Linked DNA regions of Neodiprion lecontei. The protein of the gene in region 2 purifies or fractionates together with the protein of the main gene of each other region. This does not show direct contact. Links are inferred from orthologs where the notes say so. Each region holds a gene or a part of one and is shown on either strand. Other genes may lie near its edges. The genes, in order: FGFR1 oncogene partner 2 homolog and sarcolemmal membrane-associated protein.

Evidence for each region.
Region 1: the proteins of sarcolemmal membrane-associated protein (region 2) and FGFR1 oncogene partner 2 homolog purify together in Drosophila melanogaster (affinity purification with western blotting; 3 studies listed by BioGRID, with this or other methods). This does not show direct contact. The link is inferred for Neodiprion lecontei from reciprocal best matches to the Drosophila melanogaster genes Slmap and Fgop2.

The regions. Positions count from the first base shown.
Region 1 is NC_060265.1:2,764,355-2,780,469, reverse strand, and holds FGFR1 oncogene partner 2 homolog, read right to left. Parts: upstream 10,643-16,115; 5' UTR 10,504-10,642; intron 10,348-10,503; exon of another isoform or gene 10,098-10,347; intron 9,893-10,097; coding exon 9,758-9,892; intron 9,654-9,757; coding exon 9,402-9,653; intron 9,297-9,401; coding exon 9,075-9,296; 3' UTR 9,070-9,074; intron 8,957-9,069; 3' UTR 7,034-8,956; downstream 1-7,033. Other genes in the region: nuclear fragile X mental retardation-interacting protein 1, read left to right, coding at 11,219-11,620, 12,461-12,652, 15,005-15,303, 15,400-15,635, 15,749-15,934, 16,075-16,115.
Region 2 is NC_060263.1:38,394,238-38,410,864, forward strand, and holds sarcolemmal membrane-associated protein, read right to left. Parts: upstream 9,084-16,627; 5' UTR 8,723-9,083; coding exon 6,368-8,722; 3' UTR 5,054-6,367; downstream 1-5,053. Other genes in the region: zinc finger CCCH domain-containing protein 10, read right to left, coding at 2,580-3,050, 3,271-3,556, 4,114-4,589; G patch domain-containing protein 11, read left to right, coding at 10,371-10,596, 10,703-11,256; partner of bursicon, read left to right, coding at 12,557-12,677, 12,739-12,863, 13,007-13,177; bursicon, read left to right, coding at 14,889-14,925, 15,592-15,758, 16,134-16,262.

The DNA.
Region 1 (16,115 bases), on a different chromosome or scaffold from region 2:
ACAGTACATGTCCGCAGGCGGTAGATAAGATCAAGCCGAGTTCGAACGCGGGTTCCGTCTAAGCAAATTTCCTTCGAAGAAAAATGCGGTCTATGTCAATCATGTTGCGCACGTAGTACAACTATATAAATATAAGGATATAATTATTAAGCACAACGTACGTTATTCGCATCGGTAATTATATCGCGTTGTTTAAACAGAAATTGCAAACGACCAAAAAAAAAACACGACAGTTGCGCGTAATTCTTACCGTAACGATCGATGCAACCACGATTCACCATCGTTTGATCCATTCCCACATTGCACTTATAATAATAATTCACGCTCACATAATCGCATCAATGTACATACAATACGGGCGTCTCGTATGTATGTATAATAAGGGCCACTGTAGCGTTGATCTCGCTTATGCGACTAAAGCGAGTGTCTGCCACGCAGTGTCTTTGATCCCTTGACATTACTGCCCTACGGCATATCTTTATACGATGATACGGTATGTGAACCCACTCTCGGTAACGCAAGGCAGCCTTTCAATTGTCCTCCGCATGTATAAAAATGAAAGTATACATATATGTATACATTATAATGTTGATCTCGCGTAATTTGTTGCGCCGGAAATGCAGGCTAGAGATAGTGGTTTGCATTCTAACCGCGCTGATAATTCAAATGGACGGTAGACAAAGATAGATAAAGAGAGACAGAGATATATGGAAAGAGAGAGATAGAGAGAGAGCGAGAGAGAGAAATTGTCGGCAAAAATTTCGCAACACTTTCCGTTAGATACGTTCGTAAGGCGAGTGTTGCATTTCCTGGCAGAAAGTTGACGGTTCTATTATTATAATTAGCGGGTTGTGAAACATCGTTCAAATTTCGACTACTCGAACGTTACATGTGCGGGCTACAGGCTGCATTAGTGATTGCAGCTTGCGGCTCTGTTGAGTCGCCCACCATTCCGAATGATTCCGCATATATTTCTCGATAAACGAGGTGGTCAATTAGGCGAACGTGATTCCTGTTCACATCCTCGTACTTAAACTCAAGGCAAAATGGCATGTACGACAAAAGTTTTAATTACGCCATCTAAATGGGCCGCGAATGAGAATATACCTATGAGCAAGAAAAAAATAACCAAGAAACTCGTATATCATACGGACGTATAACGCGCATCGTTGCCTGTACGAAATACGTTCGTACAATTGTCAATTCAATCGTGTAACATAACATACATATACGTATATGGTTAACCGCCTATATGTAATATACGAATAGAATTATATTATACGAGTAAAAATCAACCAGCTAGATGACTATTGAATTTTGTATTCCGGACGTGGGGAATGAAACAACAGCTGTTCTTGCCATGAATTTTCTAATTCGCCTCGCTGCTTCTGCAATATTACATAACGGTGTTTTAGGCGTGTGAAGGTTGTTGGGTAAGCGCATATGCCGGCAGACCAAGCAAACGAAACACCTCGTCGCACCGCCGTACCGTAAAAAACACACACACATAGGTTGCATAATATAGGTGCAGTTTTCGAGAGGGTGTGCGTCTGTCTGGTTCGTTCGCTTAACAAAGAAACGACAGGTATTCCGTTATCTGGACCGAGAAAAGGAGCCCAAATTCTATAGAAAGATTTCGCATCTATTATGTCCGTCGAGCCTTTTTTTTTTTTTTTTTTTCATCCAACCCTCGATGAATTTAGCAGAGAACCGAACTATAATATTATACGTATGTATATACGTATATACATCTACGCTACTGCAGCGGTACAATGCCCGCAGCACAATTTATCACACCGTTTTTAATGGACACAACTGCCCAAATGTTAAAAACCATAATAAAGATACAAGATTCCACTAAAAAGTTTCGCCGACGTGGAGGTCAGGTTACGAAACGTCATTCAACACATCGGCTCCGTATTATTTATATTTCGGTTCTGACTTCCGATATATGCGAATTAATACTTTTCATTCGCAGCTTCGGAGAGGGGGGGGGGGGGGGGGGAGAGCCGTTGAATTTTTTTCAACAACCATAAGAGACGGACTTGAAAGACATATGTGTACAACTATAAACAAGTCCCGTAAAAAAATTCACGATACATAACACAACACATATACGTCACAATACGCGCGTATAAATGTAGAATCTTGTACGAACTACCAAAATTTTTTCGTAGCGAGTCAAACCGCTATAACGTATATACGTATAAAATCTATGTGCATGTATTTTTTCTCATTCTTTTTTTTCATTCAGGCAAGATAGTTGTAATCAAAGAATTTGGTGTGTCGACTTCAAGCAGTTACGTATGCAGGAGTGCATATATGTATATACACATATATAGCAATACACAGCACGGCTGGCAGACATCGCTGGCATATAGGAACGAATGGATCATGGCTAGGCGAAGCAAACGAACGAGCAAGCAGCCATGCAGCTAGTGAGCCAGCCAGCCAGCCAAAGCAGCAGAAGCAGCAGCGTCGGCCGGTTGCAATAAAAAATAAGCGACAAATCCCCCCCCCCCCTCCTCCCCCCTTCCCCACCGCCAGACTGACTCGCCGGCCCTAGTCGCCCTCTTACCTCCCTATGGCGCGGGCGGAAGGGAGGGCGGGAGGGTGGGAGGTTTATCTGCATTAGACTCGTGTTAGAAGGCCGGCAACCGCAAACCGGTCCTGATCATGTGGAATGTTAGCCCTAGCACTGTTGCCACATGTATGCGCATGATTTTCTGAAACTGCATCACCCGGTCTACGTAGATTTTCTCCACGTCAACGAAATACAGGAATATGTATATACATACATACAGTAGATACGTATATAATCGAGTACGTGTCGTGTAATGTATACTCGCCATTTCTATAACGCGATCACCCGGTGAAACTCCACACGTGTGTACCAGTTATATTCATTCAGCGGTGATCGCAAGAAGATACGGGGCTTATAGTCACTTGGCAACTTTGAGAAGCTGCATGCAATTTTCCAACCAGCCCCCAACCATTTACAACTTATCCGCTACTCGCTACTGGGTGTAATTGACCGCCGTACGCACCGCCGTAACCATACCGGTTTCTATTCGCAACGGTTCCCGGTTCAACGACTTTTGCAAAGTAGAAAAACTCTAGCACGTATTTCGAGTTCCATTGATCGAGATTTAAAGAAAATGAAAAACACGTACTCGTTTCGTTATACATCACTTTTCGTTAAGCCTCGCAGTGTGATATGATTTCATTCTCTCGCCGTTAAAACGGAGGCTGGGACATTTAAACGGACAGTCATTCACATTTCGTGAGGCGACGACGTCATTCAAAATAGCACATTTTTCTACTATCGATACTTATTGACAGAATATTTCCTCTATTTTTCGTCGGAGATACTTGTTCGATATACATGCCATATATATACATATATATAAAAATAATAATAATAATAATAATAGTAAAACGAAAGAATATACGCAACTCCTCGAAACACGTATATATATATTCTTTCGTTTTACTATTATTTTTTTTTTTTGTTCAGCGTGCGACTCAACCCCATGCAGTTCCTTTTTCCTATCACGATGTCAACTTCCGACAAGTCACGAGTGTACCGAGTTGACCGCAAAGAATCACACTTTATCATCTATCAGAGACGCGAACGAAAATGGAAATATTGACAATGCGGATGAAACTTTCTTACTGTTTTAATTATTTTCATCGACCGACGTACTCACCGCGGTACACGGATGAAGACGTTGCACGGTCCGCAGGTCTGCGTGTCGTGGCCGTGGGTCGATACGGATAAATTAAATGTAGGAGAATTATTGGCGAGGCTTAGCGATCAGGCGAGTATTGTAGTATATTTAACGGTAAGAAGAAATTGTACATCGCGAGACCAGTTGGTATAAATACAGAAAGAGCGCGGTAACAGGTGCTGCACAGGAAACACGCCGGCATTGTTGGTCTCAAGGCCACGCAGCTATAAAACCCTTCTATCGCATAAGAGCGTAAAAAAAGAGTGAGAAAAGAGGGAGGGTGACCTTGGCAAGTAGGGTTGTCCATAACTAGCCTAGCTATAGCCCTGCACCGCAGCGCACCATCGTCTAGCTCCGATAGACGCCCGCCATACCTAACAGACGAAATGCGCTTGCCCTGGGCACAGCTACTCCTCACCTCCTCCTCCTACTTTGCCACCTTGGCCTCCTCCCTCTCCCTCTCCACCGACACCATGTTCCTCCCGTCTAGCCAGTCTAGGGCTCGCGCTCCGTGCTGGTCCTAGATCAAGTTAGCAGCAGCAGCTAGTCCGCGCCCTATACTCGCATGCCATGCGTATACTGACATACATAGTACCACACATCCAGGGTCGTCCAGCGAATAAATGTACAGGGCCGAGAAACGCGATTGCGTCGAAAGTCTTTAAAAGTGTGCGTGTCATTTTTCTCCTAGGTATATGTGTGTACATATATATATATATATATATATATACACATACGAGAAACACGTATAGAGTAACTTTTATGTGTGTAGGTACGATGCATGTGTACCTAAAGGTACGCACGTACACTCGTAGGCGTCATGTTGGCGTGCCCGATTTCAAACTGACCCCAAAAAACACCGTCGACGCGACGAAGTACCTACATTATACGCTTCGTGCGCATAATCATCGTCACTGTTCGAGACTTTTTAGCAAAATTTGTGTAGAGTACGTTTATTATTACGTTACACCATGCAACGGAGTACGACACCGTCTGTTTATGTGCACAACATCTATTCACGGTTTTCTTGTCTAGTTGCTGCTCCGCGTGTATATCAGTAGTGTGTACATGTACAATTAGGTAGCTGGATGCACGTAAATGCACGCGTCGCGATTATACGTATAAGCGCAAAGTGCGCGCGTGCACATGTCGCGATGTACTCGGCGAAGAAGGGCCTGAATTTCGTAATAACGCGCGATTAATTATTCGTCAGTATTATGCACACATTGCGCAGGTGTATGCGTACAACGCATGGCACATTTTGTGGCTAACTTTGCCTATCGCGTGCGCGCGTGTAATGTATGTATGGATGTGCGAGGTCGACGCCATTTTATATTCACAGTGGAGAACCACATCGCCTTTGATAGGCGTTCTTGCACGCGCGAGGGCCCGGCAGTTGCTTATCGCGCGAATTTTAGGTCAGAATATTATAACGTAATCGATATATTGCACGGTTGCGCAAAGCCCTTCGATCAATGACAGCCGTATAATTCTCATTCCGAGACTTTGAGGTAGCGTTAAAATCAACCAAATATACGAAGGACCGAGACTACGATGTAATAAACCTCTGTATTGAAATTCGATGATTTATCCGAAAACTTTACATACATAAACTGCAACGGCGAGCCTTGGGTTCATCTTAATGCTAGTTTAAAGAATTTTAAATTTATAGTATACATGCAACTACGTGCAGTGTAGCCCTTGGATATCGTCTCGAACAAAAATCTATGTACATATTATAAGAGAAATTCATGATTTAAGTTGTGCAGTTTTCATTAAAAAACTGCAATAGATTTCCGCATATCTATGTTTTAGATCTTTAATTTACAACGACGCTCATAAATCATACTAATAGCTGTTCAAGTATACAGTCTAATATCGGCTATAAATATGCGTACGCGGAATATATAAACCATTCTTACTTGAAAGCTAATTATGTCCGATCGGCGAAAAATTAAAGCCAAAGCGATATCGTGGCTCATATATAGTTGGCTATTGAAAAATTGTACGCCCCTGCAAGCGTATAAACATAAGCACACGTAAAATTTATACAGCGCATCGGTTGTGCAGTCGCGCCAGTCGCGCTAGACGTATCCCAAAACTTCTACAATCGCCCGCGAACCTTAACGAACAAGAATAAGCCACCGCGCGCGGCGCATAGATGCGTGCATCGTGCGGCCACGAGATTTTCCCTCCTTATTTTTCTCCCTCCCTCTCTGTCTCTCTCTCTCTTTCTGCGGCGACGTATCTACTGCACTATTTGGCGCTCGCTCGCACAGCAGCAGCAGCAACGGCAACAGCAGCAGCAACAGCAGCAACGGCGGCAACAGCAGCGACGACGACAGCAGCGGGCTCGTTTAACTTCGCCCATCTAACCGCCCTTTACTCGGTGCAGGACTGACTGTTCCCACACTATAGCTGACTGCCCGCTGGTACATTATGATGGGTCTTATTGCGGCGAAACCCTCCACCATCCACAGCTCTACCTGCATAACAGGTTATTCCGTATGTGTGTACTTGTCTGTGTTTTTTAAAGGATTTATAAAAAGGATTAGACGCTCGAACCCGGCAGTATTTTTATTTGCAAGTCCGCAACCCTGTCACGGTAATTCGCATTCGTCCTCCACCTAACCCTTCCCAGCCCGTGAGATTTTTACAACACTTATTTGTTGCATGTCTATTCGCGCCAAATATTACAGTCACTAAAACCGACCCTTGTCAACTCCTACTGGAAACGTCAAACTGTGCATTTATATCTCGTTTCAGATATTACTTTACTGCCTCGAACTTACAAAGAGCGGAAATTGCAAGCGGCTTAAGGATTTTTTATCTTTACAGGCCTCGTGAGGAAAATATATATATATTTTTTTTCTGTCGCCGGTGGATTCTCTAATTGTTCTTTTATCTCTAATTGGCCGTAGAGAGATATATCGTAGTCAAGGTTTGCGACCGTTTTAATCTTGGACAGCTAAATTTCCTCATGGAAGTTGACCGTTTTCTCAACGTTTATACCACGACAAAAATTCCGTACATTCGTTAATTTGAGAGAAAACTTGTGTGCCCGCCAAAATACCCGATTCGTTGCATCGACGATCAGTTATGAAACAGGGCGTTAAATTTTCGGAAAGAAATATTTCAGGTAGTACATATCGTATGTCATTCCACGAACACTGCTTTAGCATCTATATATTATATGGTGTACACCTATAGGTTTACATGCAGGCATATACAAGGGGTACGGGACTTGGGAACATCCGTAGGGAGTGGCTACGCCCTATAATAAATGAACATTTTAAAAGTGCTGCCGCTCTATGAGTTCTATCTTATTGAGAATATGGCGATTATACGGTTACGCGTAAAATACCTGTATACATGTAAATGCAGCGAAGGTGTAAGCACTGTAAGTATTACACATATGATATGTACAGACTTTTTATGTGCATGCAGCCATTTTTCGAGGCACAGCGGTCATTTGTGCGTTTTCTCGTTTTCCGTTTATTTGATTAAACCTAATTCTGACATTTTAAATCGCTAATTATAACTAATATTGACCAAAGATTTTTCCAGCAGTCTCACCGTCGGTGTTCAAGCACTCTGACGATTTCGGGTTGCGATATTTCTGCTCGACATATAATTTGATTGCAAAGCCTCCGTTATGCCGGAGTAACGCACCAGAGGCATACAATTCTATTTTATCGGAAGCTATTTTAAAGCGCCGCGCTACCAGAAATGAGTTCGAACTTTTTCCAAAATTCTGCTCAACGCGTACATACGTTAGACATAGAATATTTAACTTCATATACCGCTTCTGCTGCTGAGACATGCGAATATCAAAGATCGTGAATTGTGGTGAAATTTTTTTCCGAAATTTTATTTGTTATCCCCATAGTTAACACTAAAGGAATGCGTATACGGTCATCATGGGTCGAAAAATATAAAATTGATTGATTAAAAATTATGCACAATAAACGAATTGCACATTTTATGGAATATGCATTTGTTACTTCCATACGGCACAATAATTATTACATAACAGTTGTCACCCGCCCTGATCGCTATTCTGACGCAATGCGCGTTCTAATTTGTAGTCCGTTAAACGCCGAATGAGATTAATCAGTTTTCAGAAATATAGCTGATCATTAAAATATTTCGACATAGTTTTTTTCATATTCGTAATCATCCCTTTTAGGAGTGAAAGCCATGTAGACTAGATACGAAAATCAAATCCACTTTTAGAATAGTGAAAAATTTGAATCAACTTGTGTAATTCCGCCTAAAGGGACGTAACCCGCAATACACGAATGCATCGCATTTGCAGTAGCGTAATACATTAAATATTTTAATTTCAAAAGTTGTTTAATAATGTATAAATATTTTGTTACCTTGTTTACGATCATAAGTACGAAGTGTTTTCATCTAAAATTAATTGTTACATACCTATATTGTTTTAATGTTGTGTTGAAATTTTTACCTTCGAAATAGGGTCAGTGCCTGGTATTTGTTAATTTATAATTATGTCGATATTTGACAGGTTAAAAAGAGATTCAAATAATAACAGATGATAGCTGAACATACGATAAACTTATGGTTAAATATAACTGACATGTGTACAATAACGTTGACTAGTTGAGTTATACCAAATTATGTTCAACACGAGGACGTTAACCATTAAACTTGTCTGCGTAATTAAAATGATGCATGAATTTATTTTGGCAACCAGATAATAATATACGATGCTAAAAGCAGACGTGGGATGGTCAAGAATTTGAAATCCAGTAGTGATTCACTTCAGCGGGCCTGTTCTTACTGCACGGATAACCTTTCTCCGATCAATCGTCAAGGGAAGAAAAAAGCAAGGATCTCACGTTTTCAAAATAAAATTACATACTTCAACTTTCTCACAGTCTAATTCAAAAATACTAGCTTTCAAGATGTATCAGGAAGTTGAACAAAGCTATCCAAACCAGTGACATTGCCAATTCACAGACGTAACTGAAATGAATATTTTTCCGGGTGTAAACGGTACCTGAACTACGTTTTACCATGCAGCTACAAAGTATTTTCCAGCAATCGATTGACAGTTGGCCGTAACCCTCTTAGCATGGCTGGTACATCTATGCACGCATACCACTGCACTTGGTCTTCCCTGCCACCGACATCCAAGTTAGTTCAGAAGTGACCTGTGTCCTTGATTCGTTATATCTCCATTGTGTTAAAGTTTCAAGCTACCACATAAATTACATACACATTGCGCAATCATCTTTGAAATTTACCGTTTATCATAGATAACCAATGCAAGTGATATTATTCAGAACACATTTAGAATGCTATCTCATACTTTTCTTATGCTGGCTCTGTCTGAACAGTTTTATCGTCCATCGTTGGATCTTTATCCAGAGAACCATACTTATTAGCTATATCGAGTATTTCTCGCAAAACAGTATTCTCTTCCTTAAGCCGAGAATAAACTTCCTTCCCTCTTATATCATTCTCTTCATCGATCGCAGCTGCAGTTTTCATCACTGCCGCCATCTCGTTGATCTTTTCCGCTTGGCTGGTGATTAACTGTTGGAACAACGTCAGATATTTAGATAATATTATATGGAAATTGCATTGTTTATTAACCAATGCAGATTCATCAGTGAGTTTTTTCTTTTATATCAAACTTACCTGAGTATACTTTGAATTGTGGAAAGATGTAAAATCCACCTTGCAACGGCGAATCAAAGACGATGTCTGTTCTCTGTATTTTGACATTATTAATTCAAGAGCATTCTGATGATCCTCTAAAGCATTTTTTAATTCTTTATTCTCTGCTTGAATTTCACGCAGATACTTATTCTCTTGTTGAATTCCAGCAATCAATTGTAAGTGAGGTCTATGGTGTGCTTCCGAGTTAAGGATTTCAACTTCCTCTTGATACTAAATGTCGAAAAAAAGATATTACAGTAAAAAGAATGTGCTTCATAAGTAAATGTAAAAGTGTACTATCTTCACCATTAAGTTTTCAATTGTAATTTACTAACTTGTTTCATACTGTCGATTTGGCTGCATACTGATTGTATATCTGATATTAAATTATCCGTATTATTTTCTTGATCCGAAATACGTCCCACTAGCTTTTCAGCATCCAACATAATTTGTTGAAAAGTTATCGACATCTATAACACATATATAACAAAAACTTAACAGAGAAAGCGAATTACAATTCGTACATTTAACACAATAGCAATTTGATTGTTACGAATGACTTTCATGTAGATATTATCGAAAAATTTTCAGCTTATAATTTGAGGCCTCACAAAGTACGATTTGATTGAAACATAGCTGTAATTCTTTTGCCGAGTTCACATATGATTGCTATACCTACACCAGTACGTAAACTAAAACCGTATGACGCGATATTTTGACGGATAGGTTAAGTTAGGTTAAGTTGGATTAATACGGGTAAGATGTGTTTCTCTCACTCTTCTAAACTATTAGTCGCCTAAGTTGACAGCAAGAACAGTTGAATTAAAAGATTTATTAGGTTTCGCTATAGTTTCAACCATTTGTTGAAAATAAGTTATTGAACAAATTCGAAGATACGTGAATAATGGTGCGACAAGAAGAAAAAACTCCAAAAACTGCCAGCAACATCGACATGGAACATGAATTAGACAATAGTCATAGAGTTAGAAACTCCGTCCCGTCCGTGAAAAATATTTCTCTATAATGCTGGCATTGCGGAATGCATATTTATTCGCTATTCTTTGAAATGTCGATAACTTACCACACAATTATTGTCACACACTGCACGCGACCGTTATACGGCTGGCTCCCTTTGAAGCAGAGACTCTAGTACAGAGTGGTTACCCAATGGTTCAGTTTGCCCATTCGCTTTAGGCAGGCGCCGAAAGTTGAAACTAACGCAGAATGTTCCGTTAACGATATCCTAGTGAACACCAATTTTTAAAAGTTGCCTTTTAAGATGTCTCTTCAGAAAATTCACCGACACGACTAATTATACCTCAAGATAACTTTGTTAAGATATCTCTACAAGTTGTCTTAAAAGTCAACCGATCAAGACAACTGCTACGACGTCCCTGTGTTTCGCGATGCGAAGCTAGCGCCAAACTGTCGACATCGCCAGCAGGGCGATCATTTATTCACCAATCTCCAGTAATTTGTACATCCTTGAATGGCCATCGCGTGAGTCCAGTACCTGTGAGAATCGAATTTTTGCGATTCAGTTTGATTTGATCAACGGTTGTAGGCAACTTCGTGAACTTGATGTATTAAAGATTCGAGCACGTGTATAGTGAACGCGAATAAGGGGACACAGAGTAAAAACAATAAAAAAAACCTGCCTTCTATTGCGATCTCGCACATGTAAATTTATCGCGTTTTAACCTATAGCTTTCCCACGCGATAAACATTGCACTGACGGAAAGTAACGTCTACCTCAGAATCAGTTACCGCGTAATTCCGGATCGTTTTTGAACGTTATGAGCCCATTAAATAGGGGGCCAATGCTCGGCCCTCGAATGCCTCCGGTCGGGATGCGTCCCATGCCTCCTCCACGGTTCGGTGGCCGTCTACCGCCTCCTGGTATGCCGCTCAGAATGCCGCCGCATCCGATGTTCGGCCCCATGAGGCAACGTATGCCATTACCTGGTCCCGGCATGCCAATGTTTGGCCCCAGGATACGCGGCATGCCACCGATGATGATGGGGCCAATGATGGGTCCCAGGGGAATGGGACCCTGTGGTCCACCTCCCATGAGACCCACTTCTCGAGGCATGCTGCCATCCCAAGGTTTGCCGCACATGCGTGCCCGTCTGCCGCTGTGCGGAATTAACATGAAGGGTAAAGGAATGAATAATTCGAAAAAAGTCAGCAAACTTGAGGTAAATGTTACTTCATATAAAGTCTGGGTATTCGATTGATGTCTTTTACTTAATTATCATACAGCACTGATTCGTATGCATCGAGGACAAATTGTCGAGCAATGTCATGTGCTGAGACAGAATATTCTGAATAATTCATCAACTAATTTCTTATCAATTTTGCACATTACAAAAGCCAATCAAAACAGGCATAAGTATGAAGTTTGGCCTTTATTGTGAACCACTTGCTATAAGTTGTCCATTGCTTGTTAGTTTTACCGCAGTTTCTCTATCATCTTAATTATTCATCCAAGTGGTTATTCGCATGCATCCGTGGCTCTTTCCATGTCTAAACGTGACATGGACACTAATGCATGGCTCTAGTTTGTATGCGCGATTAGCTAAAATTTGGCTTGCGATTACAGATGCTAATGTTTTTTTGAAATGTATTTCATTGCTATCCAAAACTATATCACATCTGTGAGATAAGAAGCAGTCATGCTGTCTATTGTCTGGTGAGAGACATGGAAAGAAAGAAGACGATTAATTATCATCATGTCAGACGTACATATATCAAAGTAACCTTTAGAAGGCCAGCCTGGCTCCTCTAGGATTTGGCAGATAACTCGGAAACTCCATCGAACGTGTTAAATATTTATTTACATAAATCATACTTCTAAAAAATTTCAGTTTCAAAGGGAAAATGCCGGCCCTCTCAAAGGTTAATAGGTTCATCTTACCAGTTATCATTTGTTAGTTACCTATCAAAACCGTCTGTATAACTTCTGCTGAACCAAAATTTTCACCTATATATTCATTTATTTGTATATTTATCGATCTTCTTCTATCTGCGGTACATAGGAATTAGAATTAAAGAAGCCATGGATGACTGATGAGATTCGTAGCGAAATACAAAAGAAAAACAAGCTATACGCCAAAGCTAAAAAAAACAAAGACGCAATGGAATGGGAAGAGTTTAAAGATTTGCGGAATAAAGTTACCAGAATGATTCGTGACGCTAAAACGGAATATTTGGCCAAGAATCCGGAACAGGTATTCATTGATAATAAGTTTCTAGAATATTTTAATTCAGCATGGGTTAACTTCGCATTGAATTTTAAGACGCTTTTACATACTGATTATCGTACACAGAGTGCTCCGAATAGAAACTGAGCAAATTTGGAACACCTGCAGGAGTCAGAAATCTTAATGGGAAATTTGCCGCAAATATGGCCATTAACTTTTCAATTGTGTTATGATGTTTAAAGAAATTTTCGGACAGATAAATAGAGCACAACAGTTTACAGATTACTTTGGTTACAGGGTGGTCAAAAAACAAGTGATAAGAATTCAATTGAATCCAAGGGTGTTCAGATAACTGTCGATTCAACTGAGCAAACAGAGCAAATGAAGCTAGCGGAGGAGACGCAGCCTTCCAGCGAAAAGGCTCAGTCCTAAGCTTTAGGCTACTCCTCTTTCTTCTAACCATTAATAAGTTAATCCATTGTCAAACTTATATTTTTAGTATTCAATATTCATTGTCTCAATGAAGTAACGAACTATTTCTGAAAGCTCGAAAAATTTACTTTACTATAGAAACTACTATTATAGTTCGTTTTGTTTATTATGTGAAAATTATTGATGCACAAGAGCACACATAGCACATACCAATCTAAAAAGAGGTATAGGCAAATTACCTTCTCAAATCCAACTTAAGACTTGAATGACGTTTTTTGTTCCTAATATTTGATTAGCATCTAGTGTATTGGTTAAATCCCTGTTTACGTTTTTCTTACACCTCTTGCTTAAAGGAAATGCATAAGACTTTACTAAGATACCTATATATGTAACGATCAAAGTTACACTGGCCTTTAGACAATTTTTCTTTTGAATTAATATGCTCCTAAATTGCTCTGCGGCCAGTATACAGTGCTCCAAGCTATATTTATTGATATTACATAGTAAAATTAATTTCTGAGGGGATTCTGTTTTTGTGATTTAATTATTTAGATTTTTGGGTATTACTCTAGATTAAATGAATTGCCTGCAGTCATTTCATTTAGATAGCTTTTAGCACTGTAATGTATGTAAATTTATTTCATGTAGCTTTTATTTGAATGTAGTATTTAATTTATCAATTGCAGTTGGAAAGTGTTTCAATTCACTGTTTGTACTGGCCCAATATTATTCAAGCAAATGATAAATAGCGAAAGGAAATTTGTATTAAAAAAACGTAATGTAAGAATAAATATTTCTATAACTTGTAATCATGTTGTTCCTTTTGACTCTGTATTATCCACAAATTGAAAGTGCTGCACAAGAAGTTTCTCTTCGGCACATCTAACAAGTAGTACACTTATTGTTGTTAAATGAAACAATTTACTTTAATGACAATCAACATTGTATGTAGACACTACTATAAAACTTGGATAATTTTTACATACACATTGCCCAAGTAGGAGCATTCTGTTTCTGAAATACCAAATATATAATTTACCACAGTATAATATTGGGTAGCCAATCTTTTGCTTATAATATTCTGAGGTTTCAAAAGATATCATAGTTTTTTGAACAACACGTATTGTAAATTTACCTGATCTGATATAATAATCCACTAATATAATCGTATTTTAAGTTTCTTGCAAAACATACTGTGTTCAACATTATTAATACAACAGTAAGAATCAGTTATGCATGTCTAATCTCTGCAAGAATAATAACCTTCGCTGTGCTGAAGATAAAGTACTTTTTGGTACAATAAAAAAAAAAAGATTCCTTAAAAGTGTGACAAACACTTTGTTATTTTTGTAATTCTCGTTTTAATCTCAGTATTTGATTGCTGGTAAAATATTGAATTTCTATTGTAACTACTGTATACTGACCGCTCAACTTATTGGTATTGCTCTTCTAAGCATTATACGTAACTTATCTTATGAAGTTTTGCATCATTCAGAAACAAATAATATGAGCCTACCAGATAAAAGAATTAAATGAGTCATTCAATGGTAAGCATATTGTTACAGTTAATACATACTGTAGACAATTATCTGAGCTCAAATAAAGAACACAAATTTTTACTTTGAAGCAATGAATACAGTCCTGTATAAATAAAAAAAATAAGTTAGGTATGCTTTTCGAATCACTTAAAGTTCATGTAGATATTTGAACCTCTGAAGCTCTTAGAAATACTTACTGAAATATAGTGCGATTACAGAACTACTCGATCTTTTCATTTTTTTATAACTGAGTCATCTGCCATTACATCAAAGAGAAGTTACTTGAGCCTGTTTACTCTAAGGCAATTTCACATTTCGGGGGATTCTGTCAGTACTATACTCCAAGTGCACTTTAATTCGCCTAAGGATTTACTAAATGAGAATAATTTTTTCAAGTTATGAATTTTAGGCAACCCTCTACTCAGCTGACACATCTGCTTATGATGAAAGAGATGAAAATTATCAGAGCTCGGAAGAAGAACACGAGTATTACTGTGAGGTATGTGACAGGGAGTTCCCATCAGAGGAATCCCTTGCTCGGCACATGGGGGAACATCGAGTTTGTGGAATAGACGATTGTGTCTTTTCAGCGCATCCAAAGCTCGTTGAAAAACACATCAGCATGCAACACACTACAGGCCTTTATCATAGAATGAAGAATCTATCTACGCCAGAAGATATCCAAAACTGGATAGCAGAACGCAAACGGTAGCTACATTGAATATTTATTGTTCAAATATTGAATGATACATAATCTCTTAATCTTGATACTATCAAATTTCATAAACATAATTATGATTTCAGGCGATACCCAACAAAAGCAAACATAAAACATCTAGCAGCTGAAGCGTTGGAGAAACAAAAGCGGTATGAAGTAATTAGAGAGAAGAAATCAATAACAGAAATCAATAGAATTCATAAGAATGAAACAAAGAAAGTTACAAGACGCAAAACTCGTAGACGACCACGTGCCTTACCTGTACCTGCAAAGGCTATGGAATCGCAGCTTTATAGAGGCTTGCAAATGTTTCCAGGCACTTGTAAGTCATAGTTTTGATGAATATATTAAAGTTTTCAAGGAAAATGCGTATAATTTCAATTTTAGAAAATCATACACTGAATTATGAACATACTGTGAATCTTGATGTTTAAGTAAACTTACGGCAATCGACGAGTGATGAAGAGTATTCTCTGATTGAGGATTCAGACAACGAAGTGGACATAAGAAGTACAGGGCACATTTCTGGTGGTGATGAAGTGGATCTAACCATGAACCTCGAGGCAAATAAAAATTTTTCGTTGAGTCTGGTAGCAGATTATGGCACAGATTCTGACGAAGGTAAGTTTATGTAATACAGTATGCTGTAATGTTTATATTTTATCTTATTAGATAACTCTAGAATTTTCACGATATTTTAAAAATCTTTTATCTAATGTTACCTTGCCATTGTTCTTACAGTAGCTATTTTGCTTCCACAGATGATGGACCTGAGGAAGTTCCTTTTAAAAAAATAAAAGTT
Region 2 (16,627 bases):
GGACTTCAATGTTCAGTCACTCGGCCCATTTTTATTTTTTTTTACGCATTTTGGCAAATTTCGAAAAATACTAGTATCACTTAATTTCTGACGTTGATTGCTCACGTATAATGATTTTAGTTTTTACATATCAGACAAGAAATACGCACTTTATCTTTCCTGCCCATTCCAAACTCAAGCGGCTAGGTCCTTCGATGGTCAGCCGTTGACTAAAGATATATTCTTCAGTTACCGGGACAGCTAATAACGCTGCCGTTCTGCGACAGTTGGATGATAAAAATTTTTGCTCGTACCTTCCAAACGTGTGTTAAAATACACTCGAAGTTTTAAAAAGCTTCGTTCTATCTCTCCCTATCAAAAAAAAAAAAAAATAAATAAAATCTCCGACAATCACCTTTTTAGGTCTTTAAATCAGGACACTGCGTTAAATACTGTCTTATATACGGAACATCCATTTCATCTCGATCAAAATTAGTGCATCCGTGATGTATGACAGTTACTCTGAATTTTTTCCATACGAACACTTTTCAAAAAACAATTCTGCTACTCTACCCAACGTAGATACTTCACTTGCGATTAGCTAAAACAGCGTTTCGATTCTATGCCTACGAAACTTCAAGATCGAGATAGCAAATGAAAAGTTATTGAAATAATTATGAATATTAATGTTATGGAATACATCGAGCGCGTGTCGAATAGAATCCCATTTCGCAATGAATAATTCTTCTATTTCCATATTATAGCCGTATTATTGTAGATGATCTAGTTTGTCTCTTGGAAAATTATAAAATTTGTAGTATGCATCACGTAATAATCGTAAGTGGATCATATATATCAATATCGTACATGGACCGCATTTACATATATACTTTTTGGCCTCTGCATCATTATTACATCTGAGCTATTATTATTTATGATCTATGTATACATTCTCCTCTCGGGTACTTATACTATAATCAAATCACTGTTTTGCTACGAATTTTGGAAGAAATTTATTCTCATTATTGATTTCTTGTATCGCCGACAAGTCGGTAAGTACACACAGGTTAAGTACTGGCTTGGGCTTACCGTTGCGAAGACTGCGTTACTCGGAAGGTGAATGCAGCCAGCATCATGTCGAAATCGGCAACTCTCTTGATGTTCTGCAATAACTTCTCAACTCTACCGTTGGAACATCTCAGGGGGTGCAAGCGCACGACGATTTTCGGTTGTCACACCAAAACCCATTAGGGCAACTGTCTTTATATTCTTCAGTCAACGAACTTACCAAAGTACACACGATAACTTTCAAGGCTCTACACCTGTTCGGGATTGGTATACAGTTCATCTTTCACAATTTATTATATTTGTCTGGAATTTCTAGACTTGTATCAAATTAGACATTTCTTTTCTATAAATATGTAATATTTTGCTTTAGAAACATTTAACAATCAATGATAAATGAATTCTCCACTCTACCACTTCTAAGAAGAAAAATATCTTACTGAAAATATGAAAAGAAGCCTGCTACGTTAATATGAGGGAAAACAACCAATAAGCTAACAAATTTCGCAAGCTTTGTTTAGTAGTATCTGGGACAATAAAAGTACCTATAGCAATCTATTTTTGTATATAAAATATAACTATTCGTAGGCTTATATTTCTTGATCATTACGATAAGTAGAACACACGTATATTACGGCAGCTCACGACCATGATTTTTGACTCATAACATCCTGGCCAAAACCGTATAAAATCTATTATATGATCCTGAACTCAAAAATGTGAACAAATTGAGCCGACCTGTTAGATAATATCTTGTCTGATTTCCGGAATGTAGTTACATGATAGTCCTGAAATACCAATGACACGTTTTTCATACGCCGATAGCGCAGCGCCTGTCCACGAGACCATTCTGAAAAAACAAACGAGAAAAAAAATTACGTATAGCATGCCGTCTGAAAATTATTCTTGTAATTAAATTGGGGTCAGAAAAAAATCGCACCGCCTCAGACGTTGCATTTGCATTTTGAAAATGTCAACAAATTTAGCCAATCCCATTTGTTGGAAATGATAAAATAAGTTGCCTAGATATAGAAGAAATTTTTATCAGACCAACTGAGTGCAGCATCTGGTTTATTGGGCATTATAGTCAGTATTAAAAATGTTTAAAAACAGTATTTTCGTAACCTCAGTAGCCATACAAAAGGATTTAAAAAAATCGAACTGGGATGCTATGGAAGAGGTTGGCTAAATTTGGTGCCATTTTTGAAAACTCCACCAGGTAAAAAGCTGCGCGCAAAATGTCTTAAACCAAAAATTTTATAAGTAAAATAACAAAATCTATGTACATTTTCACTATCAGATAGGATGTTATACATCTGTCTACCTATTTGTTTTGACATAGCAGAAATGGCCCCCCACGAAGCAGCTGCGTTCTTGACCGTTACTACCCACCTAGCCGGGTCAAGAGTCATCTAATCTTTTGATTTTATACGGTTTTAGCTGGGATGTTACGAATCATGGTTTTGATCTTAGGCTCCCTAATACAGTATTTAAATGAGTTGGTGTTTTTTTAACTTCAATAAAAGAATAATCTTTTATTGTAAGACAGGTCTCAGTTCTTGTGTCATAATTGGATAAGAAACGAGTGGTGCGGTTGGACCAGATATTGATAGTGGTAAGTTTGTTGGTTGCTGAGCGTTCGGTGCTTGTTGGTTGGTAGGCTGAGGACCCGAACCACTCATACTAATAGTTTGTTGAGCCATCGTGACAATCGGTGGAGGAATAGACACCGGTGCCATGGAAACAGCAGCGATTGATACAGGAGTTACTGTTGCTATGCTCACAGGAACAGTTGCAACGCTAGCTGTAACAGTTCGCAGTGTTCCAGCTGCTACAGCAGCATTAACCATCTGTTGAGGTGTTGGAGCTTGAGATGGAGGTACAGTGTTTGTTATCGTAACTGCTGGGACTGTTACAGCAGTTACATTAGTTGTCCTTTTACCAGACATTCTTAGTTGTGCATTTTGGTCCAGTAGGAATTCATTTGTCGCTGTTAAATCGTTGACCTGCAATTTGAAGAGTATAGAATTAACTTTAAACGACATTTTTGATAAAACAAAGTCACTCTGTATTATAATTGAGTTGCTTAAAACCAATTGTTTAATGTTCCATGAGTCATTTTTTCAATTTCACTATAAATTGATAAGCCTGAATTCTTTTAAAAGCTATGAAACAGAAACTTGACCAACACCACAAAGTTGTATTACATTATATTGCGAACTTTACCTGCTTTTTTAGTTCCTCAATCTTTTTTTTCAGCAATGCATTTTCATCTTCGAGATTAAAAGCTCTAGCTTCATTTCTGGGGATTACAGGATAGTAATAGCTAGAAGTTACAGGCTGGGTTGGATGCTGTCCTACCAGAGGTGACGTTTCGAAATGCAAGATAGTTTCTCCAGAGACAATTCGTCGTTTTGCTTCAGGAGGCCCCAAATAATCAGGCGGATGCGTAGAAGGATTGTAGCCATTATTGTGGACCAGTGGATGCGGGTCCTCCATCTGCCAGTGGTAGCTGGTAATCAAGCATATTCATCAATAAAAACTATGATATATAAACAATTGTAATCTGTGATTTATTACATTTCAAAAATTGATAGTTTCTTGAAAAGAAGAAAAACCAGAAACAAAGAAACCAAAGCTGTACAGTATGATTTGATATCCTCTTTGTAAATATTTACGTGTACAGAGGTAGTGATAAAAACATCAGTTTAAAAATAGCCTTGATCATTAATTTTGCTTGTTTGCTACAGAATATACCGCAGTCAGATGTATGTATATGATTGATGCTTACAATGCATGTCTAATGCATGATTCATCTAAATAGCAACAACATGTTCTATCCACGATAGAAGGCAGCCAGTGTGATAGTTAATGTAATAGAATGTCTATTTATATGCATGAACCTACTTTAGCTCTCTGCTCAGTCAGAGTACATTATCTCTTCACACTGCAACTACTGATCAATTAAGAAATAACTATGGTAGACCAATGAAAGAGTTGCTTGTCAAATGCATTTTTCAACCGTAATACTTATTTTGAATCTTAAATTCCAACTGTCAAGTAAATTACCTTCTTTCTTCTTCATATCTTCGATTTTCGCCATTACTGACACCATTAAAATTATGTTGAGGTCTCGTAACGGTATGATGGGGCGGAGGGACCATAGGATGCTGTGGTTCTTCCTTCTTGTAATGCCTGTACTTACAATTGACTCTTTGGCAGCTGCCTTTGATGAAATCCTTGCATAACGGTAGTTCGGATTTGTCATTGTTACATTTCAAATTCGATAAAATACGCGGTGGTAATTCACCAGTTGCTCTGAAGTGTTTTTCTTCACTTTCAGTGCAATGCAAAAATCGGCATCCCGGCCAATTGCAAATCCCATTTTGAAAATCATGACAAAAAGTATATTCATCTGCTGGGTCATCTTCTGATCTTTCATGAAGATATTTACATCGCTTCCCTCTGTGGCAAACGTTGCGCAGAAAATCTCTACATACTCGACTTGGAGAAGAATCTCCGTTAGAACTGGAACCACCTGCCATGTGTTAGTGTTTTCGGCACATTCCAGTTATTGTCAAGAATATTATTGCCCGCATGGCATTGGAAGTCCTTATGATTTTAGTTATGACTCAGTGAACTAGAACCAGCTAGGTATCCATGACTGTAAATTAAACACAAAGTACTGATATAAATTTCTGTATACTATATGCAATACAATAATTAAATTTATACTACTTACAACAAAAAATTAATCCCTCATTACTTTTCAACTAGTTTCATTATGCGTATACTTAATTTGTACTTTTAACTATTACATGCAAGAGGTATATGATTAAAAAAATTTCGCTCAACGCATTTTTATCCAAGTTAATTTCATATCTACTTTAAAAAAACAATGCTTCCTAGAATTAATTAGGGCTAATAATTGACTTTAAAGGCTGCTTAAGCTGACATTGAAAGCGATAGCACAGTGCAAATTACAAGAGGATATAGTAAGACGGATTAATAAAATTTCAATTAATTTAATTTTATTTCGTTTTATATAGTGACTGTTACATAGGTATTAATATTATATCAACAAAATATGTACAGAATTTAATAACTATTATCGTCATATTCTATCTCAAACCTTCCAAATTGGTTTCATTCTACAACATGCTGCATTTTACGCTGGAAAGATAGTGCAACATCTTTCAGTTATTTTTTGCAAAATGGAAAGAATCGAATTAATCAATGGCACACTACAAAAACTAACATGATAAGAAAATATAATAAATTTTTAATCTACTATAAACGACGAATAATTAAGAGAGACCATTATTTTATTTATTGCCAATATGAAAATAACTCTAGGCCCATACTGATCAATACCACATTGAGGTGTTCTGTAAACCATATTGTGAAAATTTAAATAACAAGAACATAATTACCAGCTAACAATTAACATTGCATTAATGTATTTATTACAATAAAATTTAACATATAACAGAACCAAGTGCTTTCCACAGGCAATATTCAGTGCGTGATATCAGCTAGTACAGTAGAGAATAAATTTTACATATTTGCATAAATCTTTGAATTTTCCTGAATATTCACTTAGTTTGAGTATAAAAGATTCTCCGTGCTAAGTTATAAAAAATTTTGCATTCTAGTTATTTTATTTACCAATATACATTATCACGATTACTTGCAAATGAAAATGCATAATAATCAATGATACATACGATAAATTTGCATGTCGTTTTTTTTTTCAGTGTAGAAATACGTTTTATACGTTAAAAACGATATGGTATTGAAATTGGCAAAGTGGTTATTCATTTTTTATACGGTACGTCAGTATTGTCTATATATTTTTCTAACACATCTCCAACTCCGAAGAATTGGCACAATGCTTGAATGTTTTTATGTGTACTGAAGATGTAAAGGATATAAATAGAAGTAAAATAATATAAATATTTGATTTCTTTCTGGTTCTTGAATTGAAATGGTAAGATGCTGAGCTTCCATTCAATGTTTACTCATAATGGAAGCGAATAAACTTATCTTCACATCCTTGACTTTTAGAGTTAAATATAATATATGTATATATGTACACTGTTAATTTATTTATTATGTTTGTTTTCTTTTCGTATAAAAAAAGGTTCTCAATTGCAACCGAAACAATATGCTGGAGTATCCTGTAATGCTTGGTATTATTATTATTATTGTTATTATGATAATTACTTTATACTATATCTCATAATAATATGCTTAACATGTGACATCATAAAAAATCAAATATAATAGTATGAACAATAACTATGTACAGAGTTAGAGAACATTAGAATATTTTTTCAAACAGCATCCATAAAAATGCTATTGCGATTGGTGCAACGTATTGTATGGGAACTGTGTAGGTAACATTCAACAGATCTCCACACTGAGCTTTAAGAGCTTCGTATCCTTTAACTAGTTCTGTATTCTCTTCTGTACAAGCGTTGCACTTTTCTTTAAGAATGACAAGTTCTTCGTTTATTTCTTGAATACGTTGAGTCTCATTTTTAGCACGATAATACAACTCCTTTAGTTTACTTATTACAGTTTCATTAGACTCGTGAATCAGCCATTCTCTAAGGTCGTCCAGCTCCTTATTAGCTAATTGCTGTGCCTCATAGTTATCTTCATCCTTCAAGGAGTCCAAAGAGCCAATTAAAGTTTGAAGAGTATATTCCTTAGACTGTAAACTTTGTTGTGCAGACTCGTTTTTCGATATCGGTTTTAAAGTCTTTATATAATCTCCATCTAAATGTTCACCCTCGCCGCATTCTTCTTCATCTTCGTCACGCTCCTCACTATTTTCACGTTTCTTTTCTTTATCGCATACTTCAAAAGATTTATCAATGTCTTCGAATTCACTTTCTGCTGAATTTTTAATATCCTTTGAATCACTTGTCAAACTCGAAACCTCGGACTCCTCTCCGGTTTGTTCAACAGGATCATAATGAACCTCTAAAGGTTCACCATTTTCTTCGCAAGCAAATCTTACCTCTAATAATCTAGCTGGCTGACCGGCAGCTTTAGTTGGTGTGCTGTTTTCTTCGCTGGTTCTCTTCACTTCGACGACTGATTTTTCGCTGCCATCGTCGCTGGTGGTGGTACAAGCGTCTTCGCTAACCTCAGAGTTATTGTCAGACTCTACGCTGGTGTCTAAATTATCTAAATTAGCGTTTCCATTGACCAGGGTTCTCCTGGAAGGTGGGTCCAGGATGCACCCTACAATCTTATCTATCTCTGATAATGATACGTCGATATTGCTCTTGTTGCAAGAGTTTGAGTTAATTTGATTGTCATGCTCAATTTTGTTCGCGTAAGAATTAGACTCCTCATTATAATCAAAGTCTTCTATAGACATCAGCTTTGTTTTGTACAATATATTGTTAACGGCAAGCTGGGCCTCGTCGGTAAGAAGGTCCAAATTCATATCTTGCAGAGTCTTGAGGTGCTTTCTAAGTGCAGTCACTTTCTCGTGAATGGTAGTAGAGTCATACCTGAAGTCCCTCAGTTTTGACTGCAAGATTTTCTCCACTCTAGCCTGATCCTTGATCCTTTTTAGCAGTCCCTTCTTTTCTTGTTCAGCTTGAGCTACCAAGTCCTTCATCTTGTCTTCGCTCTCTACCAATTTGTTAGAAAATTCGCTTATTTTAGTTTGGGCCTCGGTATACTTAGCTGCTAGTTCCTGTAGCTCAGCCTGCGTAGTTTTGGATACTTCATGCAAACTCTGACACTCATCTTCGGTATTGTTAAGCTGCCTTTCAAGATTGGCAAACTTTTGTGTCACCTCTAACTTCTCCTGCAATATTTTCTGCAAAGCTTCCTTAGCCGCTGTTTGATACTGTGCTTTGTCTTCTTGGAGTTTAACAAGCTCATTCCTTATCTTATCCTCTGTAAAATTCTTCGAATAAGCAACTAGCTGACTCTCGACAGTTTCGACACGCGATAATAAACGGTCCTCGTCAATCAAAGCTTTCCACGATTGATCGGCTGCCTGTCTTGTCGTTTCTACCAGTCTTTGGAGGTGATGAAGTTTGCCGTTAAGGACCTCTTCCCGTCTGTTAGCTTCTTGCAAGAATTGATTAAGTTTGTACAAATCCTCCAGGGATACACTACTCGTAGGACTCGCAACCGACGTGCTAACGCTAGCTTTAGCTTCTTTACCGTCAGGCAGGTACAATTTTAAAGTAGCGACGATACATCCGTGAGTAACCTTCCTCGTGTTTTCCATAACATCGACTCCGAACTGTACAATATCACCAGAGCACACCTCCCTGGGTCCTGATTCTTCGCCACCTATGCTAAGTCTTTGGCTATTGATAAACGTTCCGTTACTACTCTTGGTATCTTGCATATAAAATTTACCAGCCTCGTACCAGAGTAAGGCGTGATTTCGCGAAAGCACTTTACAGTCGAATATAGCATTGTTCGGCGTAGCTCGAGCTCTCGCCACGGAACGACCAATTTTAACCGGTTGTTCGAGCGAAACGGTGCGCTCGTGAAATGGATGGGAATTTGCCCGACAAATCAAAACTGCCTTAGCAGCCATCTTGTTGTTTGGCGTGTTACTAGTGTTCAGGTTGGAATTGTTCGGGGTCGGCGAATAAGTAGCATTTTGAATCCAACCCCCACTAGCTATAACCATAACCTATTGTAAACTTTATTTAACGGATATAACTATGAGAAATATATTAATTGGCTAGTGGTTACGGCAGTAGGTTAATCGTACGTTGAACACTTTCTTCATCAAAGTGTTGAGATTAGTTTAGTTTGGTGTTAATTTTGGATTTTCACATTTGGATGCACGATAAGATTTCCAGCAGCTTATATCTTCGTCAATTATTTTTACAATGATTAATATTGATCTTCATATTGTGTACACCACTACATAAACGTCAATGTCACTTTTTCTCAGTTCATTCGCCTATCCAGATGGCTTGAAACTTATCGCCCAATAACATTATCAACTCGTTTAAGGTGAAAGGTCTTTAAGCTGTATGTTCGAAAAATTTCGGATACCATGTACCATGGTTCGAGTCCATGTGTGGATAGAAGCTGCACACGCCCACACAACGAAAATAGCTGTTAAACTGGCTCGTAGGGTTCATCGGCGTTAACAATAGCGTGCCATAACTCGGCATAAAAAACGGACAATCATCACTCGGTAGGAACTCGCTAGGCGTATTGTGTTACGCTTGTCAAATTATATCACCCAAGTTTAATCACACTCGACTTTCGCAGCAGCTCTGCGTTATTGGTATCAAGACGAAAATACTTTACTTAAAACACGGAACAGTGAACGGTGTTTGTTACTTTAAGATTTGATATAATTTATTTGTCAGGCACAGTTTCAACATGGTAATGCAACGTAAGTAACACACGGCGAACGTTCAAGGGGTCAGCGACGAAGGTGTAGTTGTAGAAAGCACTTTTTTAACACGATAATTACGCGAAATCTCCGATGTCTCGAGATCGAGATGTTGCTCTACAGACACACAGAATCAGAATATTTTTTTCGCTCTCTCAACAATTGCGTTGAACTCCCGTGAACTTTACTCGGTACTGATGGTATTAGTGATTTGATCGCATCGCCTTCGGAGTTCTCTACGCTTCACGTATGGGAATAAGAGACTACACGAGCAATTAAATAAACAATTGAAAGACAAAATATTGTACACGGGTGGACTGCGGAAACACAGTGGTCCGAATTCACTTTGTTCCTTGAGAGTCAGTCCGAATTCCGATTCCGGTGTTTCTTCCGTTTATCGACCGTCGGATGTATCTGCGTATGAATATGTGTATGTGTGACGTACGTCCTTTTAAAATATCACATGACCATTTGTATGCATAATTTCCCACATAAACCGGAGCGAGTTCATCGTACATGGATATTCTCAAAGTATTTCAATCAACCTGAATGCGAGGCTAGGCGAATCTTACGTGCAAATGGAGAAGCGCGAGTAAAATTTTTTGAAAAATATCCTGTGACAAGATCGTTTGAATAACTTGGTCAAATCATTATCAGTAGAAATTGAAGATAACCTCAAAAGCAAGTTGACAGAAGATTAACGAAAAAAAAGGGGAAGAATCGAAGAAATTTGAGTGTTTATGGTATTACATATGAGGGAACTTTTGTCACGACCATCTTGAGCCTCACTTGTTAATTAATTTTTTTATCGGTACGTTATGTTCACTCATCAGGTCTGTCACAACAATGGTTTAGTCTTCAACGTGGTTGCGAATTTTTTACATTTCTACTTATCTGTATTCAATTTTCAGGTAGGTAATAAATCATGTCCGATGATGAAGATTACATGTCTGATAAATTTCTCCATGCTACCGAAGAACACTGCACTCCAATTCTCGCTCGTCGTCGCTCAGATCAACGGGAATTAGATCTTTTAAAAAAGAAGGCAGAGATTGAAGCTCGATTAAAGGAAAAAAATGTGTCTGTACGGGTCATAGAACAGGAAACGAGAGATAAAGGACTAGCATCTGCCATCACTAGTGACAATAAAGGTCAAGCTCAAATCATTGTAATTATATTTCTGCACACTTGGAGCTAGACAAATATCCTACTTGAACTATTTTCGAAACTGTTATATCCACTATTACTTATATTCAGGTTTTAAATTATTGGAGAAAATGGGATACACACCTGGGCAAGGAATCGGGAAGAAGGAGAGTGGAATATGCGAGCCAATTTCGATTGATCTGAAGACAAATAGGCTGGGCTTAGGCAGAGCACCGAAGAAAAAACCGTCAGCAACAAAAAATGGGAAGAAGAAAGAGGATAATTTTAACGCCAATGATTTTCGAGGAAGAATTTCACAGAGAAAAACCGAGCAGATGATAGAGGTTGATTTACGTAGAAGTCAAAACAGCTGCGAGCAGCTAGATAATCAAAATAATATTGACAAACCTGTAGAAATTTGGTACTGGCCGATAGTGGAAGAAGAGAAAAAAGACTCTGAAAACAACGAGTCAGTGGAATCAAGTGAAGAGGATGAAGATGAAAATGAAGATGATCACTACAGGATACCAGCTAGTGAAAAATTAGAAATTTTAACCAAATACCTAAGAGATCAATATTTTTATTGCATATGGTGCGGGGCAGCATATGACGATGTAGATGATTTGAAAGATAATTGTCCAGGAAATACACGGGATGATCATTGAATACTGAAATTAATTTATCTAATGGACTAATCACATCATATCTAGGCTAATATTTGGCGCTTGTAATACTGTCAATTTTTTTACGGAAAAAATAAACAAAATAGAACCAAACTATTTTAGTGTTTCGTATCGTTTGGATTTTTTCTGGAATTTACCGACAAATAATATTTGAAGAAAACAAATTAATTAGGGGAATTTTTAGCAGACTGCATCCTAAACAGAAGATAATTGATAATGTGTTGATGGATAATTACGTTCTTTGAAGAACAGGTATTAATAATATCATAAGAAGTTGACAATAAAAATGATGGATTTTATACGATTTTAAAAATTCAGCCATTCTGAAAATTTTTTTTTATACATAGATTTATGAGATCACATCTCTTAGCTCTGGTCATGATTAATTCAATGGATTTAGAATGATATTTTCATGAAAACTATTCAAATTATTCTTGACTACTAAATTGTGTACATGTATATGAGATGAAAGTTAGAAATACTGTGAATAGTAAGGGAAAATAAATTTAACACGAAATTCCACGTTTTTCACCTAAGAATGATCCAAGTGATTGTTTTGGATTGTTTATTGACGACGTGAAGTTTAGTATGCATCTACAGGTTGCTAAAATAATTACCTTCCGAGATTGATACTTTGCCAACGAGGTATTGTGATATGAAACACGAGCTCATTCGAGCTTTTCAACTTTCGTAAAACTTGTATCAATGCCTAAGTTAACTTAGGTTGTGCGTGCATCCAGATACTCAATTGCAACAGACGTACTAAAGACACTAAATTTTGTCAAGTATATAAGGATAAAAAAATAATTTCATTCCAGTCCTTACATCTTTTACAATTGTTATAGCTGACAATTTTATACAAGGCTTCTATACTTAGTATAGTAAAACTCTGATTTGCTATGGAATGTCAGATAGTACCTCCTACTGGGGAACATAACATAAAAAAAGCATTAGGTGGATAATGCAAAGTATCTCTATACGAATAAACTGATGTATTACAAAGAAAAAGAATTAAAAAAAAAGAATAAAAAAAAAAACGTTCGAGCTGTATGTAGTTGGAAGTGATTTCGGATCGACTAGGCTATCAAGACACAGTGGGTGGTTTACTCCCCAACGCGTAATGTCAGGGGTGGGAAAAGTATGTATAAAAGCTTTCCTCTCGTATTTCGTCTCCTCACTTTGACCCTAAACGTTGACAAAGCTCATTGAAAATCTTATTGCAGCGCACGCGAGTCTAGGACATCTTAGAAATAATCTTATTACAGTTGAAATAAGTTAAATAATGCGGAAGTCGGTCCTTTTTTTACTAGCCATTATGGCACTTTTTAAAAGTAATGTAATCGCTCAGCTGTCAGGAGATGAGAATTGTGAGACATTGCAAACAGAAATTCACGTAACTAAAGGTAAAACTTGAAACGCTTAAATAAGCTTCAAATTACATTTGGTAATATGTTTTTACTACAGACGAGTATGACGACCTGGGACGTTTGAAAAGAACGTGTGGCGGTGATATTACGGTTACAAAATGCGAGGGATTTTGTAATTCGCAGGTACAGCCAAGCGTCGTCTCCACCACAGGATTTTTAAAGGTACACCGAAACAAAGAAAGTATAGTAATTATTGATAGGTTGCTTCAATAACTTTGTGATAAAAATAAAGCGAGATCAAAGTTAGATTGATATCTACTCTCCTTATAGCCAAACTAATTTTTCTTCTCTTGTGTGTTATTTAGGAATGTTTCTGCTGTCGTGAAAGTTACCTAAAAGAGCGAGATGTTTTCCTGGATCATTGCTATGACGCAGATGGTGTTAGATTGGACAGCGAAGAAGGTGGTTCCATGGAAATCAAGCTACGAGAGCCAGCCGAATGCAAATGCTACAAATGCGGGGATTTCGCAAGATAAAACTTCGTGATTTGCTGACTTGGACTACATGCTTATACCAATAATCGTCGTCTTTTGTTACAATCCAATACTGTATCATTATTGATTATATAATATAAACATTATGACTTGAAATACCTTGTTCTTCAACGAAACCCTGCGCTTGTATTTAATAATGCGAATAAAATACAATTTTCCAATATACATATTCTCGTTTTTTTCAACTTCACTTTGAATTATACGTACGTCATTAAGTTTGGCTGAATCATTGCAATAAATTTGATTCACACATGGCCTATATTCCGAGTCGTTAAATATTTCAAGATGTTAATATTACCTGAAACGTTTGATCAGTTAATAATAATCATTTATAGTGAATTCCTGAATGACATCGAACATAGTAATGATATTGAACATGGTATTGATATACATATAGAATTCTGAATTAGCTCAATCTGCCAACAATAGTGTGATTTAAGACTTCTGCTTATTGACTACCGCGTATGACTGAGAGAATTAAATTTTTTAATTCATATATAAATCGAATGATCGCAAATGTTGGAAAAGCATTCAATTCATCATCAAGTCTCTCGTCTTGTAGAAGAAAACATATTAATTTCTACTTACTTTAAAACTGACTAGCACGCATTGAATGTGCAAAGAATTATTGTCGTATTTATCAATTGAATTTGCTGAATCATAATGAGACTCAAATACATGTAATAAGAAAAAATAATTATTGTTGTCAACAAATTACTAACAACTAATTACTCAAGTTATATACATTGATGTTTAGATGAAATTATTTTTTTAAATGTATTAGATGAAAAATTTTTCTGCACTCACCACTAATCCAAATTGTGTGTATTCAAAGAATTATTGGAATGTGGAACTGTTGACCAGAAATTAACACAAATAAAATAGCTCAATTTTGCACTACAACCGTAGCGTATTGCACAAAAGAAGAAGCTCTCTAAATAGGGGATCATTGATATAAGTATATCTTGAGAAATATAATAAACCAAAGGACCACCAAAATTGATAGACTGGATTTCTGCCAGTAACGTGTAGACGATTAAATATTTTGCAACTGCCAAGACATGAGACAACTCAAGGAATGCTATTACATTTATGGTTTTGGAACTGCTCTTTATAGGTCAACAATAGATTTTCCCTGGTTATTTGGCTCAATCGCTAAGAGTGAACCATGAAAAAGCATTATATGACGTTGTTTTTTCGTGCTGCTCCATAGGGTGTCCAGCGATACGTCTCTTGTGAAGTGGCTAAGAAGGTTCTCAACTAACAGAACTAAAATAGTCGATTTTTTGGTGGAGTTATAGACTTAGATGCTTTTGAGAACCTCACACTTGACTGAACTGCACTTATACTTTACGCCACTGCATACTTACAGTTTTTCATCCTCCATGTAAATTTCTTACTCTTGAAAACGGTGATTAAATGAGGTCAGTTTATTTCTCGTGAATTAAACTGAATTATAGAGAAATCAGAAGAATACTAATTTTTAGCATGAGAAAACTAAGGTCTCCATTTTATAGGGATGTATAACAACTATATACAGGGTATTGGCAAGCATAGTTTTAGGCAACAGATGTTTCCCCCCTCTATAAGGGAGTGGCGTCACAAAGTAGGGGCTGAACGGAGCTAACTGTGGGGTATAAAAAGCCACGACCGAAGAATAATAGCCACAGTGGTTTGCTAGCAGAGCCTAAAAATGTATCGCACTGAAAACCTATTTTTCTGTCAGTTTGGTAAGTTAAATAACGAGAAGACTACGACAAACCAACTAGTAACGTTAATTTCAATGAATTACGTGTCGTTTCACTTTGTTCTTTATTATCAAAATTAGTGTCCAAAAGACTTATGTTGAATATCAAAGTTCTTTCATCATTATGACATTGAATAGCGTTTAATCAATTTATTTAAAGAGTTACCAGAAATCCATGGACTCAATGAAATGCAGAAACGGTCTGCGCAATCTCAATATGATTTGTGAGTAGTATTTGGAAATGAAGTGTGAAATCTAGAGCATCATTAATGAAAAAATTGTTATGTAATAAAAATGATTTTCATCTCTGAGATATTCTAAAACATTGTAATCTGAGTTTTGGTGAAGTTGTGATCGATATATTATGACTTTCGTACCTAAGAAAATTTGAGTGAATAAATTCAACAGATTAATTTGCAGTGATTAAAACTAAGCTATAAAGCGATTGAAATTTTAGCCACTGCGGCAAAATCCAGAAGATTTTGCACAAGCTTCACGAACTGCGCTATCAAAGCTAGAAGTATAGTTAAGACAATAAATAAATACAAGTTAGTCATAAATTTGTACAGTGTGATATTTCCGTAATAGAAAATAGCTAAATATTGTGTTGAGAGTAGTGAAAAATAATGTCAATTTACTTACACAACAGCTCTACTGGCTACACTGATGTTTCTACTTTGTGGAAACGTCTCTACAATCGCAGGGGTGGATGAGTGTCAAGTGACTCCCGTAATACACGTTCTGCGCTATCCAGGCTGTTTTCCGAAACCAATACCAAGTTTTGCATGCACTGGTCGTTGCAGCAGCTACTTACAAGTAAGAAAAACATCCACATCCTATTATTCGTCAAAATAACATTTAAATTCTAAAAATGACCTAAAAATGATTGAAAGTAAATTGCAGTGCAATAATGGTAAAAAAAAATTGGGTAAACCTCAGAATTTAAAAACTTAAAGTGTCTTCGGGTCCTGTAGATTTCATAAACTGAATAAATGAAAAAATATAGAGGATCGTAATTACCAAAGAATGAATTGACACTTCTGTATACATAAGTAAACAGATATACACATAGTGGTTACGCTCAAGATTTGTGGATAATGATACGTTAGGTGAAGTAAAAACAGTTGAAGGGTGACAGATTATCGTAGTTTAAAAATAATTAAACAATAATAACAATACCTGATATCGTAGGTGTCAGGTTCGAAAATTTGGCAAATGGAAAGAAGCTGCATGTGCTGTCAAGAGAGCGGCGAGAGAGAAGCGAGCGTGTCGCTGTTCTGTCCGAAAGCGAAACCAGGCGAAAGAAAATTCCGAAAGGTGGTGAGATTTTAGCGATTTAAACACAGCTATAAGTTCGTCGCAGGTATCACGAGGTGCTTGTACACTGTTTAAGAAACATTCAAAGACGTATGTCGAGAGATAAATACAGGAAAAAATTATTGTTATCCAAACTTAGATTCTTAGTGTTTCGAGTACTGCCATATTGTTTTTATTTTGGAGTAGGGAACGCACGGAATCGGACCGTGCGCGCCAGCTTCGAATATGCACTGACAGATTCTGAACACGCAGCTAGATAAAATATGTTAGAAAATTATTTAAATTAAATAGCATTTGAAATTATTTCACGAACCGAAATTTTTCAATAGTAAGTCTACTGACTCCAAAAAATCTGCACCATTAATGAG